Saccharomyces cerevisiae S288C: one gene and its partners. Changing the gene in region 3 together with the main gene of any one other region gives a genetic interaction. Each region holds a gene or a part of one and is shown on either strand. Other genes may lie near its edges. The genes, in order: GCD11, SUP45, NAM7 and TIF2.

Evidence for each region.
Region 1: mutations in NAM7 (region 3) and GCD11 together harm fitness less than expected from each alone (positive genetic interaction), as found in Saccharomyces cerevisiae (2 studies listed by BioGRID).
Region 2: of NAM7 (region 3) and SUP45, a mutation in one rescues a mutant of the other (synthetic rescue), as found in Saccharomyces cerevisiae (3 studies listed by BioGRID, with this or other methods).
Region 4: mutations in NAM7 (region 3) and TIF2 together harm fitness more than expected from each alone (negative genetic interaction), as found in Saccharomyces cerevisiae (2 studies listed by BioGRID).

Annotation. Positions count from the first base shown.
Region 1 is NC_001137.3:203,498-207,352, reverse strand, and holds GCD11 (translation initiation factor eIF2 subunit gamma), read right to left. Parts: upstream 2,103-3,855; coding exon 519-2,102; downstream 1-518. Other genes in the region: carnitine O-acetyltransferase YAT2, read right to left, coding at 2,390-3,855. UniProt on the Saccharomyces cerevisiae protein: As a subunit of eukaryotic initiation factor 2 eIF2, involved in the early steps of protein synthesis.
Region 2 is NC_001134.8:530,280-533,950, reverse strand, and holds SUP45 (translation termination factor eRF1), read left to right. Parts: upstream 1-1,768; coding exon 1,769-3,082; downstream 3,083-3,671. Other genes in the region: alcohol dehydrogenase ADH5, read right to left, coding at 1-189; YBR144C (uncharacterized protein), read left to right, coding at 402-716; MAK5 (ATP-dependent RNA helicase), read right to left, coding at 3,313-3,671. UniProt on the Saccharomyces cerevisiae protein: Component of the eRF1-eRF3-GTP ternary complex, a ternary complex that mediates translation termination in response to the termination codons. The eRF1-eRF3-GTP complex binds to a stop codon in the ribosomal A-site.
Region 3 is NC_001145.3:426,212-431,218, reverse strand, and holds NAM7 (ATP-dependent RNA helicase NAM7), read left to right. Parts: upstream 1-1,591; coding exon 1,592-4,507; downstream 4,508-5,007. Other genes in the region: ISF1 (Isf1p), read left to right, coding at 124-1,140. UniProt on the Saccharomyces cerevisiae protein: RNA-dependent helicase required for nonsense-mediated decay (NMD) of aberrant mRNAs containing premature stop codons and modulates the expression level of normal mRNAs. Also capable of unwinding double-stranded DNA and translocating on single-stranded DNA.
Region 4 is NC_001142.9:152,954-156,506, forward strand, and holds TIF2 (translation initiation factor eIF4A), read right to left. Parts: upstream 1,739-3,553; coding exon 551-1,738; downstream 1-550. Other genes in the region: mannosyltransferase YUR1, read right to left, coding at 1-46; glycogenin glucosyltransferase GLG2, read right to left, coding at 2,032-3,174; YJL136W-A (uncharacterized protein), read left to right, coding at 3,216-3,299.

The DNA of each region.
Region 1 (3,855 bases), on a different chromosome or scaffold from region 3:
TTATATAAAATAAAACCTTTTCAAGGTTATATATACTCAATAGATACTGAATAATTTTGGAGCTTCATTATCTTTGTGCAATTGTCTCCATGTACAAACCACCGATAAGATTTAGTGTAGAGTATGTTGGGTGTAAAAAAAGAAAGGCAGTTTATTGACTACTGGTGTAACTAGACGATAAAGGTTTGAGAGGTTTTCATGGCATCAATGGGAAATAAATGAGTTCGAGAACTATGAGATAAATATTTGCTTAATATTATCGCGTTTAGTAATTTTTTCTTAAAAATACGTAAAACATGTTAAATATACAGTTGAATACTATGTAAGAAGGAAAAAAAAAGAAAGAAAACGTTATAAAAAGAGAATAAAGATCATCAATGTCATTACGCATCAATGTATATGAGCATATTGCAATAACCAGAAGTGTCAGTTTCCCTTCCTCCTAGCCCGTTTCTTATCTTCACTTTCTTTCAGATTAATTATGAAATTTTTGTCTTTGCAGTGGTTTTATTGGTTCCTTAAGCGATGGGTTCCAATGTAGTACCCTTTTTAATGGTTGCCCAACCAATCAAACGCCAATGCTTTTCGATACGTCTCGACAAAGCAATCTTCTCGTTAATTTCAGTACAAGCGGGCGACGTTAACTGTAATCTTGCCATATCAGCTTTAACGGCAACCACACGAGCCCCCGTAGCGGTAGAACCAATGTTGACCATAAGAACTTCATTTGGCTCTAATTTTCTGACTTTGGCTTGCTTTTGACCATCTGTTTTGACACCTAATAGACGACGTAGCAAAAAGTAGTTGATTTCGATATCAGTATAAATGTTTGGCAAATGACCCTTAGCACCGACGACTTGACCGACAAGACGATCAGCTCTACACAAGGTAGGATCAACTTTAGTACCAACACCAATCAGACCACCGGGAACAGCAAACTTCAAGTCATTTTGTTCGGCAAATAAGGAGACAATGTTAGAAAAGATTGGTTTACATTGAATTTTACCCTTATCATCCTTGGTGACAATACCTGGTCTAATCTCAATTTCATCACCTAATTTGAAAACACCATTCAAAATAGAACCACCGGCAACACCACCTTTCAGGTCCTCGATTTCAGCACCTGGCTTATTAACATCAAATGAACGAATAACAATTAACCTTGGAGAAATCATAAAATCTCTTGGTGGTACGGGAATAGTCTTGACAATAAATTCATTAACTGCGTCGATGTTATACTTCAACTGAGCGGATATTGGTACAATAGGAGCACCGTCAGCAATGGTACCTCTGATGAACTTCAAGATGGATTTTTGGTGTTCTAAGGCACTTTCTTCACGCATTAAATCGACCTTATTCTGTAAGATGATGACGTGCTTTAATTTCATGATTTCAATGGCAGCTAAATGCTCTGAGGTTTGAGGTTGTGGACAAGATTCATTACCTGCAATCAACAGTAACGCAGCATCCATAACAGCAGCACCTGATAACATAGTACTCATTAAGATATCGTGACCGGGACAGTCAACAAAAGAAACGTGACGGACCAATTTGTAACGCCCCGGACAACCTGGTCTTTGACATTTAGGACTGATTTCTTTATCAGATTTGAATGATCTATAACAATCAGGTTCGGGACATGTAGGCTCTTGACATTTATAAATTTTAGCATTAGCGTAACCTAACTTAATAGTAATGTTACGTTCTAATTCATCCTTAAAACGGACTGTTTGGACACCTGAAATAGCCCTAACTACTGTGGATTTACCGTGGGCGACATGACCGATGGTACCGATGTTTATTGTAGCTTGCCTGTTGATAATTTCGGCGGATAGTGGGTTTAATTTTGAAAAATCAGGGTTTAATGGTTGTTCGGGCAAACCACCACCTTCTTCAAATTCCCTTTTCCTTTTTTCTTCTTCAGTTTCCCCGTCTTCTTCCAAGCCAGTGAAGGCGACTTTCTTCTTTGGCTTATCAGCATCTTGTGTTTCTTGTGTTTCTTGAGCTACAACTTCCGTTTCTTCAACGATATCTGGTTCACCAACTGGTTCCAAATTACCGTTGATAATAATGCTAGGTTCTTGGTCTTGTAAGTCACTCATGTCTACCTCTAATGCGCGATGTTAACGGTGTATTACGCTCTTTCCGCCCTCTTTGCTTAGCTCCTGGTACAGGTCGAGATGAAATCTCTGTCTTTTGTACTGATGATCAGCATCGGGCTATTCTATGAAAATTTTTTCAATGGCAAATCTGGTCCGGGTTACTGACATGAGAGCAAATAATAAGCATAAATTAAAGCATATTGATATACTTCATATAACAAGTATATATCACATCACGCCAAGCTTACGCATAATGCTAGTAATAAATAGATAAACAAAGAGCGTTCTTATTGATCTAAGGTCGCCACCTTTCTACCCACACGACTGCGGTCAAAATCAATATCGAATCTTGAGTTGATGACGTTACGTTTCTTGGAATTTAGAGATGTAGCTGAAGATGCCGAAGAGGATGTGCCATCAGCATTGCCAGCAACTATTTCAATATCTGTCTCATCATCTGCTTCCAACCCATTACTTGCCACTTCCCGCGGTTGGATCTGTAAAATTTCATGGCCTGTATTTAATTTTTCCTTTTCTGTGGGAACGGAAACTGCGGAACTTGAATGATCATTGTCTGCGCTCATGGTCAAGCCATTGAAGGTTTTCTGCAAATTCTTCATCGATGGTGTTTTAGATATATTCCTACTGTCAATGTGGCCTTCCAAATCGAAAAACCCGCCATACCTGTTCAAATTTACCTGTGATGAAGAAGATGTTTTGCGGGAGCCATTGACTGTATGGCCGTTACGTTTCGGAGGATTATTGACTGCATTGTCCATTTCATACAATTTATCGACCACTGGACTGATCTTCACGCCAGTTTTATTATGAGAAGTGCCGCGTGACATCCTCCAGTAGGAACGAATTTCGCCTAACACCCAACTTAACATAAACATTAACCTGTCACCCTGTCGAAATTGCGATGTCACGGTCAAATCTACTTGATCATCTTTAATGATGTACCCTATTCCAAAGCCATGAGGTACAGCAGGAGTTATACCAAATGTCGTGGTAGCAGCATTACCACAGTTGGCAACAATCAACTCAGGCTGTGAGAAAGGTAAAACAAGTGGATTTTCGAAAAGATCTTTCGCAGCAGATGATTCATCACCACTTAAGTGGATACCAAAATGGTCATGAAATTTGAAGAGATATTTCAATGCATTGAAGTGTTTTTCATAACCTACCCCAGACTTTGCATGTTTAACCATGTTATTATGTGTTTCGCAGGTTTGGATAAATTTGTCTAATTTATCTGTCCCATCAATGGAGCTAGAAATAAACAATTGACATAGTTCCAACAGCGCTTGACTTTGAATGTTAATAAAAGATGATCTCGAGTTTTTGAAACCACGTGTGGATACTGGTTCTAATCCAAACACCATTCTTCCATACAAAGCATAGTGAGCTATTTGTAAAGCTACTTGAACCATCGAATCGGGCTTGACTCCTAATCTTTGAGCTGACCTTCTGCCCAATGGAATAGAAGCGCGAACAATATCATACTTGGAAATCAGATCAGCTAGTTTGGTTTCTGACAAATGGACATGTGTGTTCAGGATGTTACTGAAAGACCAATCGATTTTATTTACAACCAACTTAGGGTCAATTTCAGAAGGGCCTCCGCCGTCGGCACTTATGGTCGCCGTCATCAGTTTTTTAGTTTCAGGATCCATTTGTGTCACGTTAGGCCAGAGTGAAAACTGTGGGTCACCGGCGTTAACGTCTCTAGCTAATCTCAAGACTGATTCTG
Region 2 (3,671 bases), on a different chromosome or scaffold from region 3:
TTTCAATTGAAATGGCCAATCACCGTGCCACGCGTGCAAGTCACTATGACAAACACCAGAATATTTAACGTGGACTAAAATTTCGTTAGGCTTAGGTTCCGGAACTGTGACGTCTTTATATTCCAATTTTCCATCTGTCTCATAAAAGACAATAGCCTTTTGTTTTTCAGGAATGACTTGCGAAGGCATGATGCTTTGATTTTGTAGATATGTAGTTAAATAATTTTCTTAGGTATCTTCCAATCAGAGACATTGTGAGACAGTAAAGCAGTAGTTTGCGCTAGAAATATCTTGTAGTCCCTCTTTTATATTCGTAGTATGTTATATAGATTACAATCTAGACAATACGAAGGAACGATCCCGCGTCAGCAGATGTCACAATTTGATTATTTCATTGTCACATGCTTTTTGACTCATCCTTCCGCGAAAGGAGAACTTTTTACAATGCCGCCGGCTCTGTTAGCGTACCCTTCTACAAGCAGATAGCAGAACAAACACATGATATATTCAAAAGGTGCAATGTCAGAGAACATATATTGCGCCCCTGTCCTGTAGACATCAGTCATTTTTCGCGGGACTTGAATGGCGCACCATTATCCTATACAGAAAACATTAAATTTACTGCAAAATTTTGGGCAAACGCTTGGATAGACTATGAATCCGTCATGAAGACACTACTTGTAAAATTATATATATCCTTTTTTTTCATGTGCTAGTAAGAATTAGCAACTACTTTCATTCATCTTCGACGCAACTTCGAGGAAAGCACCTTTTTACTTGCTGTAGCTCTATTCTCTTCCCCAACCACCTTTTCCTTTATTCCAAAATTTTTAAAACTTTTTCTGTTACATTATATAATCTTCTGTCTGAAATGTTTGGATATAACGCCTCTTGATCCACTTTGTATATGCGTGCTATTTATTTTCAGATTTATAAAGAGTATGAGCGTCATTTACATAAATAGCTGAAGTTATTCATGGAAAATACGAAGAGCACGTATGTGAGCCAACAGAACATTTGACGTAAGACTCTACAATGTGCCAAGAACTGGACAAGTAGAGGACTGAGAACTTTATTTCAATTCATTGCTCCTTTTTGGTGGCGCTACCTTTAGCGAAGGTCAATGATGAATGTGCACATGCTGTCGAAACCAAAAAGCAAATTCTAACCAACTTCAAAATGACATAGTCATCTGATATTTCTACTCATTATAGATAGTATGGGAGCCTTGAAACGAAAAGTAAGTAAAAAGCTGGATATGAGCAGTATGAGGTAGACCTTAGCTACATCATTTCCCCCAATAGCTGCTGCAAATATCTGGTTAAATTTGTGATTCCATGAAGAGGATAACAGACTTGTTAAAAAGCATCCTGTCAAAATCTAATTTTTGAAGGGCAGTATTCAATTCATAATTTACTTTAGCTTAGATCCTTCCAATTTATACATGGTATTATAACCAGATCATAAACTACAATCTGTCGCTACCGCATGTACGAAGAATACTTAAGTCACTTGCTCTCTCATCATTTGTACATTTTTCAGTAATACCGTTTGATAGCGCCGTCTTTATTACCCGGATTATTCCGTTGACCCTGAATGAAAAATTTTTTCAGAAATCCAGTGCTAAGCGTCAAATCAATGAAATACATCACTGTATTTTTAACTGATATACTGTTGGTGTGGCCTTAACGACACCTTTATTTCTTAATTCATTTCGGCTTGTCTCCTTATTAAGACTACAGAAATAGACAAAGGAAATACTTCAATAATGGATAACGAGGTTGAAAAAAATATTGAGATCTGGAAGGTCAAGAAGTTGGTCCAATCTTTAGAAAAAGCTAGAGGTAATGGTACTTCTATGATTTCCTTAGTTATTCCTCCTAAGGGTCAAATTCCACTGTACCAAAAAATGTTAACAGATGAATATGGTACTGCCTCGAATATTAAATCTAGGGTTAATCGTCTTTCCGTTTTATCTGCTATCACTTCCACCCAACAAAAGTTGAAGCTATATAATACTTTGCCCAAGAACGGTTTAGTTTTATATTGTGGTGATATCATCACTGAAGATGGTAAAGAAAAAAAGGTCACTTTTGACATCGAACCTTACAAACCTATCAACACATCCTTATATTTGTGTGATAACAAATTTCATACAGAAGTTCTTTCGGAATTGCTTCAAGCTGACGACAAGTTCGGTTTTATAGTCATGGACGGTCAAGGTACTTTGTTTGGTTCTGTGTCCGGTAATACGAGAACTGTTTTACATAAATTTACTGTCGATCTGCCAAAAAAGCATGGTAGAGGTGGTCAATCTGCGCTTCGTTTTGCTCGTTTAAGAGAAGAAAAAAGACATAATTATGTGAGAAAGGTCGCCGAAGTTGCTGTTCAAAATTTTATTACTAATGACAAAGTCAATGTTAAGGGTTTAATTTTAGCTGGTTCTGCTGACTTTAAGACCGATTTGGCTAAATCTGAATTATTCGATCCAAGACTAGCATGTAAGGTTATTTCCATCGTGGATGTTTCTTATGGTGGTGAAAACGGTTTCAACCAGGCTATCGAACTTTCTGCCGAAGCGTTGGCCAATGTCAAGTATGTTCAAGAAAAGAAATTATTGGAGGCATATTTTGACGAAATTTCCCAGGACACTGGTAAATTCTGTTATGGTATAGATGATACTTTAAAGGCATTGGATTTAGGTGCAGTCGAAAAATTAATTGTTTTCGAAAATTTGGAAACTATCAGATATACATTTAAAGATGCCGAGGATAATGAGGTTATAAAATTCGCTGAACCAGAAGCCAAGGACAAGTCGTTTGCTATTGACAAAGCTACCGGCCAAGAAATGGACGTTGTCTCCGAAGAACCTTTAATTGAATGGCTAGCAGCTAACTACAAAAACTTCGGTGCTACCTTGGAATTCATCACAGACAAATCTTCAGAAGGTGCCCAATTTGTCACAGGTTTTGGTGGTATTGGTGCCATGCTGCGTTACAAAGTTAATTTTGAACAACTAGTTGATGAATCTGAGGATGAATATTATGACGAAGATGAAGGATCCGACTATGATTTCATTTAAATAAATAAAAGGGGGAGAAAAAAATCGAATCAAAAAGAATTTAATCACTAGATGCCAGATTTAAATTAAATTCGCTTTTAATTTTTTGTACAATATAATATATACTTGGTAAACCTTTTGCTCTATATTGAGCTAATTCCTTTGTTGAAAGTACATAGTGGGTTTAGAGGACCGTGTATATTACGTAGAAAATACAGTGAAAGGAGAGTTTCTCTTCAAAAGCCTCGAGATTAATTATTTCTCTTTTTCTTTTTCTTCAAAGTTTCTAAGGCGTTTGTCTTTTCATGACCAATGATAGAATTATGACCTCTTTTTTTGACCAAGTTATCAGCTAAATTCACTAGCCCACCTGTCAAATATTTCTGTCTTCTATCTTTACGTATAGGCACTGATAACAATTCGTTCAACGTAGCTCTCATGGCTTTTACCTTGTCCTTATTTATAGTCTTCTGCATTTTTTTATTTTTATTTTTTAGTAAGAAAGTGTCCGAATTACTCTTTGATATATCGTCTTCGTCGGAATCAACGTCAATACCTAATTCATCAGCAGCCTTTTTTAACCAATTGTCATCTTTTCTTAGGGAATTAG
Region 3 (5,007 bases):
AACCACTTAGATTAAAGGTAATACACATAAATAGAAAGGTTTGCGTAAAATATTTCAGTTTGAATAATTATCTCCTCAGTGGAATAAAAAACATCAAAGAATAGAAATAGTCGCTGTATTTTGATGATTGCTTCAGAAATTTTTGAAAGAGGTGTACAAGATCCATTTTGTCAAGATTGTGATTATGAAGATGAAACAGACGTACAAAGTTTTTTAGGTTCAAATGATTTGAATGATTTTGTAAATTCCAAATTAGCGTCCTTTAGTTTTCAAAATTCCTCGAAATCAAATAATTCTCACCACAGCAGCAGTACCAATGCCGGTAATACAAGCAGACACATAGGCAATCATACTATTGGCCACCATTTGAGAAAAATCAAGACAGCTCCGCATCACTTGTATGGCTTCGTCCCAGCAAATTCAACGAACAATTCCAATGAACCAATTCGCCCTTCTCCAAGAAGAATAAGAGCAAATAGTAGCACCCTCATTCACCAGTTGTCCAGACAATCCACAAGACAGTCTTCCTTGGGCGACGCGGCGGATTCCTGTTTTGACCACAAATGCATAAAGCCAAGATCCAGGCATTCTTCCTGTTACGGTATACCAACACATCTATACGGCCTTGAAAAATACGTTTCATCCGAGCTAGACTCTCTAGCAGTAGCTAACGACCAGTCAAATGATCTCACTTCCCCATTAACATCTGTTTCAACACCCGCCTCGAATTCCAACTCGTATTTGAATCTGAATTCAAGTTCGGCTGCATATCCGTCGTCTTATCTCTCCAACGAAAAGAATAATCGACTAAAATTGATTTCCCATGGGAAAATATCATCAAATAACGTCCCAGGTCACAGTGGAAACCTTAACCACTATCACAGAGAACGAACGCCATCAAATCTAAGAAGAGAATCCTTTTCGCTTCTTTCCAATGGTTCCTCTTCCTCTCCCTTGCAGACTAGAAACAACTCGTATTCCAACTCTTTGGTGAAATCTCCTTCCAATAGTTCATTGAATACTAGTGTGGCTTCTTCTAACGAAGAATCTAGTCCTCACACTTCTAATTGCCTGGAGGAAAGGAATCCCAGGAGAAAATCATTCATAAAATTGTCACTAGCGAGTTCATTCTCCAATTGAAAACGAAACATATGCATCTGGCGAACTCCGTAATTCGCCTAACTTTTAATGAATTCATGAACGGGAAATAAGAAAAACAAAAAGAAAATATACATAGTTAGTTACTATCCACTCAATAATATTAAACGAGTGAATGCTTTTACTTTTAACTTTAGTTTAATCTTAATTTACATTATTTTAGTATCATCAGTTTCCCTTTGCTTACTTGATTTGGGAGGGACACCTTTATACGCTTTCGTACTAACTGATCAAATGAAAAGCTTACCAGAAACTTACGATGCTATTGTGAAGGAGAAAAAAAAAGCGAAAAGAGGCATCGTTTTAACGCACACTAACAGAAGACTCTATTTCTCTTGTCAGCCAACAAACGTTGAAGATTTCATCAGGAAAGAAGGAAGGGCAGCAAGACCGAATATACTTTTTATATTACATCAATCATTGTCATTATCAAATGGTCGGTTCCGGTTCTCACACTCCTTATGATATATCAAACTCTCCATCTGATGTAAATGTCCAACCCGCAACACAACTAAATTCCACCTTGGTGGAGGATGACGATGTAGATAATCAGCTATTTGAAGAGGCTCAAGTCACTGAGACTGGATTCCGTTCGCCTTCAGCTTCAGACAATTCATGTGCGTATTGTGGTATAGATTCTGCAAAGTGTGTCATCAAATGTAATTCATGTAAGAAATGGTTTTGTAACACTAAAAACGGTACAAGCAGCTCCCACATTGTTAATCACTTAGTTTTATCCCACCATAACGTAGTTTCTTTACATCCAGATTCTGACTTAGGGGATACCGTTTTGGAATGTTATAACTGTGGACGTAAGAACGTGTTTTTATTGGGATTTGTTTCCGCTAAAAGTGAGGCCGTGGTTGTTTTACTTTGTAGAATACCTTGTGCCCAGACGAAAAATGCGAACTGGGATACTGATCAATGGCAACCATTAATTGAAGACAGACAACTTTTATCATGGGTCGCAGAGCAACCAACTGAAGAAGAAAAATTGAAAGCTCGTTTAATCACTCCTAGCCAAATTTCCAAGTTGGAGGCAAAATGGAGATCCAATAAAGACGCTACAATTAATGATATTGACGCCCCAGAGGAACAGGAAGCAATCCCACCTTTACTATTGAGATATCAAGACGCCTACGAATACCAAAGATCTTACGGGCCTTTAATCAAATTGGAGGCCGACTATGATAAACAACTCAAGGAATCTCAAGCTTTAGAACATATTTCTGTTTCATGGTCCTTAGCTTTAAATAATAGGCATTTAGCATCTTTCACTTTATCTACTTTCGAATCTAACGAGTTGAAAGTTGCCATCGGTGATGAAATGATACTATGGTACTCTGGCATGCAACATCCTGATTGGGAAGGTCGTGGTTACATTGTTCGGTTACCAAATAGCTTCCAGGACACATTCACATTAGAGTTAAAACCAAGTAAAACGCCACCTCCAACACATTTGACCACTGGTTTTACTGCTGAGTTCATCTGGAAAGGTACCTCTTATGACAGGATGCAAGACGCATTGAAAAAATTTGCCATTGATAAAAAATCTATTTCAGGTTATTTGTACTATAAAATTTTAGGCCATCAAGTGGTTGACATTTCATTTGATGTCCCATTACCTAAGGAGTTTTCAATTCCGAATTTTGCACAATTAAACTCATCCCAGTCGAACGCTGTTAGTCATGTATTACAACGTCCGTTATCTTTAATTCAAGGCCCACCAGGCACTGGTAAAACAGTTACTTCAGCAACGATTGTGTATCACCTTTCCAAAATACACAAGGATAGAATATTGGTGTGTGCCCCATCAAACGTTGCTGTAGATCATTTGGCTGCCAAATTACGTGACTTGGGTTTAAAAGTTGTTAGACTTACCGCGAAAAGTAGAGAAGATGTGGAGAGTTCCGTCTCCAACTTAGCATTGCATAATTTGGTTGGCCGTGGTGCTAAAGGGGAATTAAAAAACCTATTAAAGTTAAAGGATGAAGTTGGCGAATTATCTGCTTCTGATACAAAACGGTTTGTTAAATTAGTAAGGAAAACAGAAGCAGAAATTCTCAATAAGGCAGATGTCGTATGTTGCACATGTGTTGGTGCTGGTGATAAGCGCTTAGACACTAAATTTAGGACTGTGTTAATTGATGAAAGTACTCAAGCTTCTGAGCCGGAATGTTTAATCCCAATCGTTAAAGGTGCGAAACAAGTTATACTTGTTGGTGATCACCAGCAACTGGGCCCAGTCATATTGGAACGAAAGGCGGCAGACGCTGGTTTGAAACAATCTCTCTTTGAAAGATTAATCTCTCTAGGCCACGTACCGATTCGTTTGGAAGTTCAATACCGTATGAATCCTTATTTGAGTGAGTTTCCAAGTAACATGTTTTATGAAGGCAGCCTACAAAATGGTGTAACGATTGAACAGCGTACCGTTCCCAACAGCAAATTCCCATGGCCAATTCGCGGTATACCAATGATGTTTTGGGCCAATTACGGTAGAGAGGAGATTTCTGCTAACGGTACTTCCTTCTTAAACAGAATTGAAGCCATGAATTGTGAACGAATCATCACTAAACTTTTCAGAGACGGTGTCAAGCCCGAGCAAATTGGTGTTATCACACCATATGAGGGACAAAGAGCTTATATTTTACAATATATGCAAATGAATGGTTCATTGGATAAGGATTTGTATATCAAAGTGGAAGTTGCCTCAGTTGATGCATTCCAAGGTCGTGAAAAGGATTACATAATCTTATCGTGTGTTCGTGCCAATGAACAACAGGCCATTGGTTTCTTACGTGATCCTCGTCGTCTAAACGTGGGTCTAACCCGTGCCAAATATGGTCTAGTTATTCTTGGTAATCCTAGATCTTTGGCAAGAAACACATTATGGAACCATCTGTTAATCCACTTCAGAGAGAAGGGTTGTTTAGTCGAAGGTACGTTGGATAACTTACAGTTATGCACTGTTCAATTAGTTCGTCCTCAGCCAAGAAAGACTGAACGGCCAATGAACGCTCAATTTAACGTAGAATCTGAAATGGGTGACTTTCCGAAGTTCCAGGATTTTGATGCACAGAGTATGGTGTCATTCAGTGGTCAAATTGGGGACTTTGGTAATGCATTTGTTGACAACACAGAACTTTCTTCTTACATCAATAATGAATATTGGAATTTTGAGAATTTTAAAAGTGCTTTTTCTCAAAAGCAAAATCGCAATGAAATTGACGATAGAAATTTGTACCAGGAGGAGGCTTCTCATTTGAACTCTAACTTCGCGAGAGAGTTACAGAGAGAAGAACAAAAGCATGAATTGTCAAAAGACTTCAGCAATTTGGGAATATAATTCGGTGAACCCTGTTAAAATAAAATGTTAAACTTGGCTTGTGATACAAAACGGCTCAACCGTGAAATGAGCGCTGCAAAATTATTCGAGATAGACTCGCAATTTGCACAATTGTAACCTGAAAAACTTTTTTTACTTTTCCGGAGGTGCATCTATCATTACAGTATGTGATAAAGGGGCATGGACTTGATATCCTAGCCTACTAATCTCTTTGCTAAAACATGTTGCAACCAAATAGGGCTACCATTGTACTTCTAATGAATACTCTTTACGGCGCACTGCAATGCGTAATAAAGTTTTATTGTAGCGAGGTTTCATTTTTGCTTATGTTCTTTTTATTGTTTAATACGTGCATATGTATTCTATAAGATAAATGTATATAACTGCCAACAAAATAAACTAAAATCAAGGTATGGCTGTAGAAAATGATACCACAGATAATAAAATAATAAATAATCTAATAGCTGAGTGGAAGAAAAAAAAAAAATAAAAAAAGAGTA
Region 4 (3,553 bases), on a different chromosome or scaffold from region 3:
TTGGTAAGAATATGCCAACGATGTATAGCGAGCCTCCTTTTGCCATTTTAACAATTTCTGATGATAAACTTCTTTAATTTTGATAGCGACTTCCAAGCATTAGATTTGGAGATGATATGAATAAGCAGTGACAGATTATTTCTGCAGATGAAAAATAAAGAGGCGTAGTACTTTGTCTTTAACTTTCCTTTATTAAAAAAATGTATAGAAAATTTCCAAAGCGACCAGTAAAACAGCTAGTTACTCTTCACACACAAAGAAAAGAAGAAAATGAAGGGGAAAGTGGTTATGTGGCAGGTATAGCGAATAAAGAATTTAATTAAAGAATACATTTAAAGCAAATTTTCAACACAAAATATTGAAGGAATAATCAGAAAATTATTTAATTATTGTACATATTATATATTCAAATATTTATTATGAAATATCCCTAACAAAAAGACAATAAAAGGATAATCAATAATAAAAACAAATATGGGCAAAATAATATCATATAGGGGGTCAAGATAAGATAAAGGTAATATAGTTATGGATTTCTTCTCCTTAGAGATTAGTTCAACAAGGTAGCAATGTCGGATGGCAATTCTTCAATTTGAGTGGAGTAGAACTTTTCTAGTTCTCTCATAGCGCCAACGTCTTCGTTAGTAACAAAGTTGATGGCAACACCCTTTCTACCGAAACGACCACCTCTACCGATTCTGTGAATATAGTTTTCTTTGTTAGCTGGTAAGTCGTAGTTAATAACCAAAGAAACTTGTTGGACATCGATACCTCTAGCCAACAAATCAGTGGAGATCAAAATTCTGGAAGAACCACTTCTGAATTCCTTCATGATGGTGTCTCTTTCTTGTTGTGGTAAATCAGAATAGATGGCAGAAACGGTAAATTTGTCGTTTCTTAACTTAGTGGTCAATTCTTCGACCTTTCTTCTGGTGTTACAGAAGATGACAGCTTGAGTAACGGAGATAGAGTCGTATAAATCGGTCAAACACTCGTATTTGTATTCTTCTTCTTCAACATTAACGTAGAATTGTTTGATACCTTCCAAAGTCAATTCATCCTTCTTAACCAAAATTCTAACTGGGTTTCTCATAAATTTGGTGGTAACTTCCAAGACGTCATTTGGCATGGTGGCGGACAATAGAACAACTTGAGTGGTTGGTGGAAGTAAGGTGAAAATTTGGTAGATTTGTTCCTTGAAACCAGAAGACAACATTTCATCAGCTTCATCTAAGATGAACATCTTGATCTTGTCAGTTCTGAATCTACGTCTTTGGATGTTGTCAAAAACACGACCTGGAGTACCAACGACGATTTGAGCATCTCTCAAACCTTCAGCGTCTTCAACAAAGGAAGTACCACCGATACAAGCGTGGACCTTGATGTCCATGTGGAAAGCCAAAGCCATGACAACCTTTTGGATTTGCAAAGCCAATTCTCTAGTTGGAGCCAACATCAAAGCTTGAGGAGCCTTGACAGAGGTGTCAATTCTTTGCAAAGCAGCAATGGAGAAAGTACCGGTCTTACCAGTACCAGATTGAGCTTGAGCCAAGACATCGTGACCTTCAATAATAGGCATGATGGCACGTTGTTGAATGGCAGATGGTTCTTCGAAACCGTAACCGAAAACACCTCTTAACAAGTTTTCGTCCAATTCCATATCATCGAACTTGTAGACGACCTTGTCATAGTTGGTTTGAATTTGGGATTCTTCAATATCAGTAATACCTTCAGACATATTGCAATTACTATTTATTAGTTTCTTGTACACACCAGTCCTTTGTTTAGCGAACCTTTTTTTTTCCTACTATGTGTATTGGGATCTGCTGTTTCCTTCTCCTTGAGATGAGATTTCTTTTATATATGATGCTGAAAAAAAAATAAAAAAATTTCGAAAAAAAGAAAAAGGTACGCAAAATCAACGCTTTCACCCGGCCTTTTGTATTCGTCTGATGTGACGACTGTACAGCTAATGTATACTATGTAGTAGTTTAGTTGAATGATTGATAGCTAAGAGGTAGAGGGATGGCATCAGGTATCAGGCTTTGGGAATGCTCTTTGGACGCGGTCTAAATAATCCGTAGACTCCCAATCAAATTTAAAAGCAGATTGCGGCTTAGATGTCGGTTTCTCAATATCATGTTTCTCTGCAGTACTCTTCTGCGAAGCATTTCGATCTACTGAGGTTATATCCAGGTCAACGTGCTTTTGATTTTCTCTTTTACCATGATTCAACAGGTCTTGAAGACAAGGAGGTTCGTGGTAAAAATTTGTCTCTGTTTCAATATTGCCCAATTGCAAGTGTGTGAAGTAGTTACTTAAGTGGCATTCACTATAAAGTTCACGCTGTGTACTTCTCCACAGCTGGTAATAGTGGTCGTCATAGTCAGTTGTATTACGGGACCATGGCTTAAACGTTCCAATGAAGTGAATAAGTCTGATGTGTTGTTGGAAAAAATTCATGGCTGGTGAAGACTGGTATCCGTAGTTGGGCATGGTTACGTTGTAGGTGAAGGGGAGGCGTATCCATTCCATGAGTGGAGACACCTTATGCAAAACCTCTTTGCTGTAGTTGCAAATAGGATTAAAAAATTGATTGAAGATTCCTTGATCAGCACCATCAATCGATACAGTTTTAATCAAAAAATCTTGTAAACTTGTTGCCATATCTAAATCAGGAATTAGTAGTAGTACACCGGTGTTGAACATGTCAGGCCATCCGATGTCTGGAACCGCAGCAATCTGGAATCTTGTTTGTTCAGGGTATAATCGTAGGATTTCAAAAAATTCTTTATTTAATGGTAAAGTATCAGCATCTAAAAATAAAACCTGATCGAACTGCACCAGTTCCCACAGTCTAGCCTTGAGTAAAGTATGAGATAGCTCAGGCCTTTTCAACAGTTCAAGATTTGCCTTATTCTTCTCTATGCTCTTCTCTTGATCCTTTAGCGGTTCAATAATGATAATCTCTTTAAAAAGACTTCTAATTAAAGCTATTTCCTGAGGTTTAAACTCATCTCCAAACAATTTTTTTTCAATTAGCAGGCATAAGGTTATCTCATCTTCCACTACAGCGTGTTTCAAGAGTTTTTGTAATTGGTACGCTAAAGTCAATGCGCCAGGTAAATAGTCCCGTGAATACAGCAATGTACAGATGGCAACTTTCTTGGCCATAGCTCCGTAACAAACCTTACTTCTGATAGATATTCAAAAAAATGACACGATGTATAAGTAAAAAAATGCTTTTGGAGGTGGATGCGCTATCCTTGATCTACTCCCCTCATCTTTATATGTCATAGTAAGTGTAAACAAAACCCTTAACGGCTACCGCGCGGTGACGAATCAATGCGATTTTGTTTTCGAACAGTGCTATTTCAAGGATAACGAAAAATCTACCTAGATTGGCACATCAGTGCCTTATTTTCCGTCTTTGCCTCTTGATATATGTTCTTTTTTTATTGTTCTTTTGTTATTGTAGTTGTTGCATGTACGTAAGTTATATATAGATTAAATATTGATAATATAATAGAAAATAAATGATAGGGAAACGTTG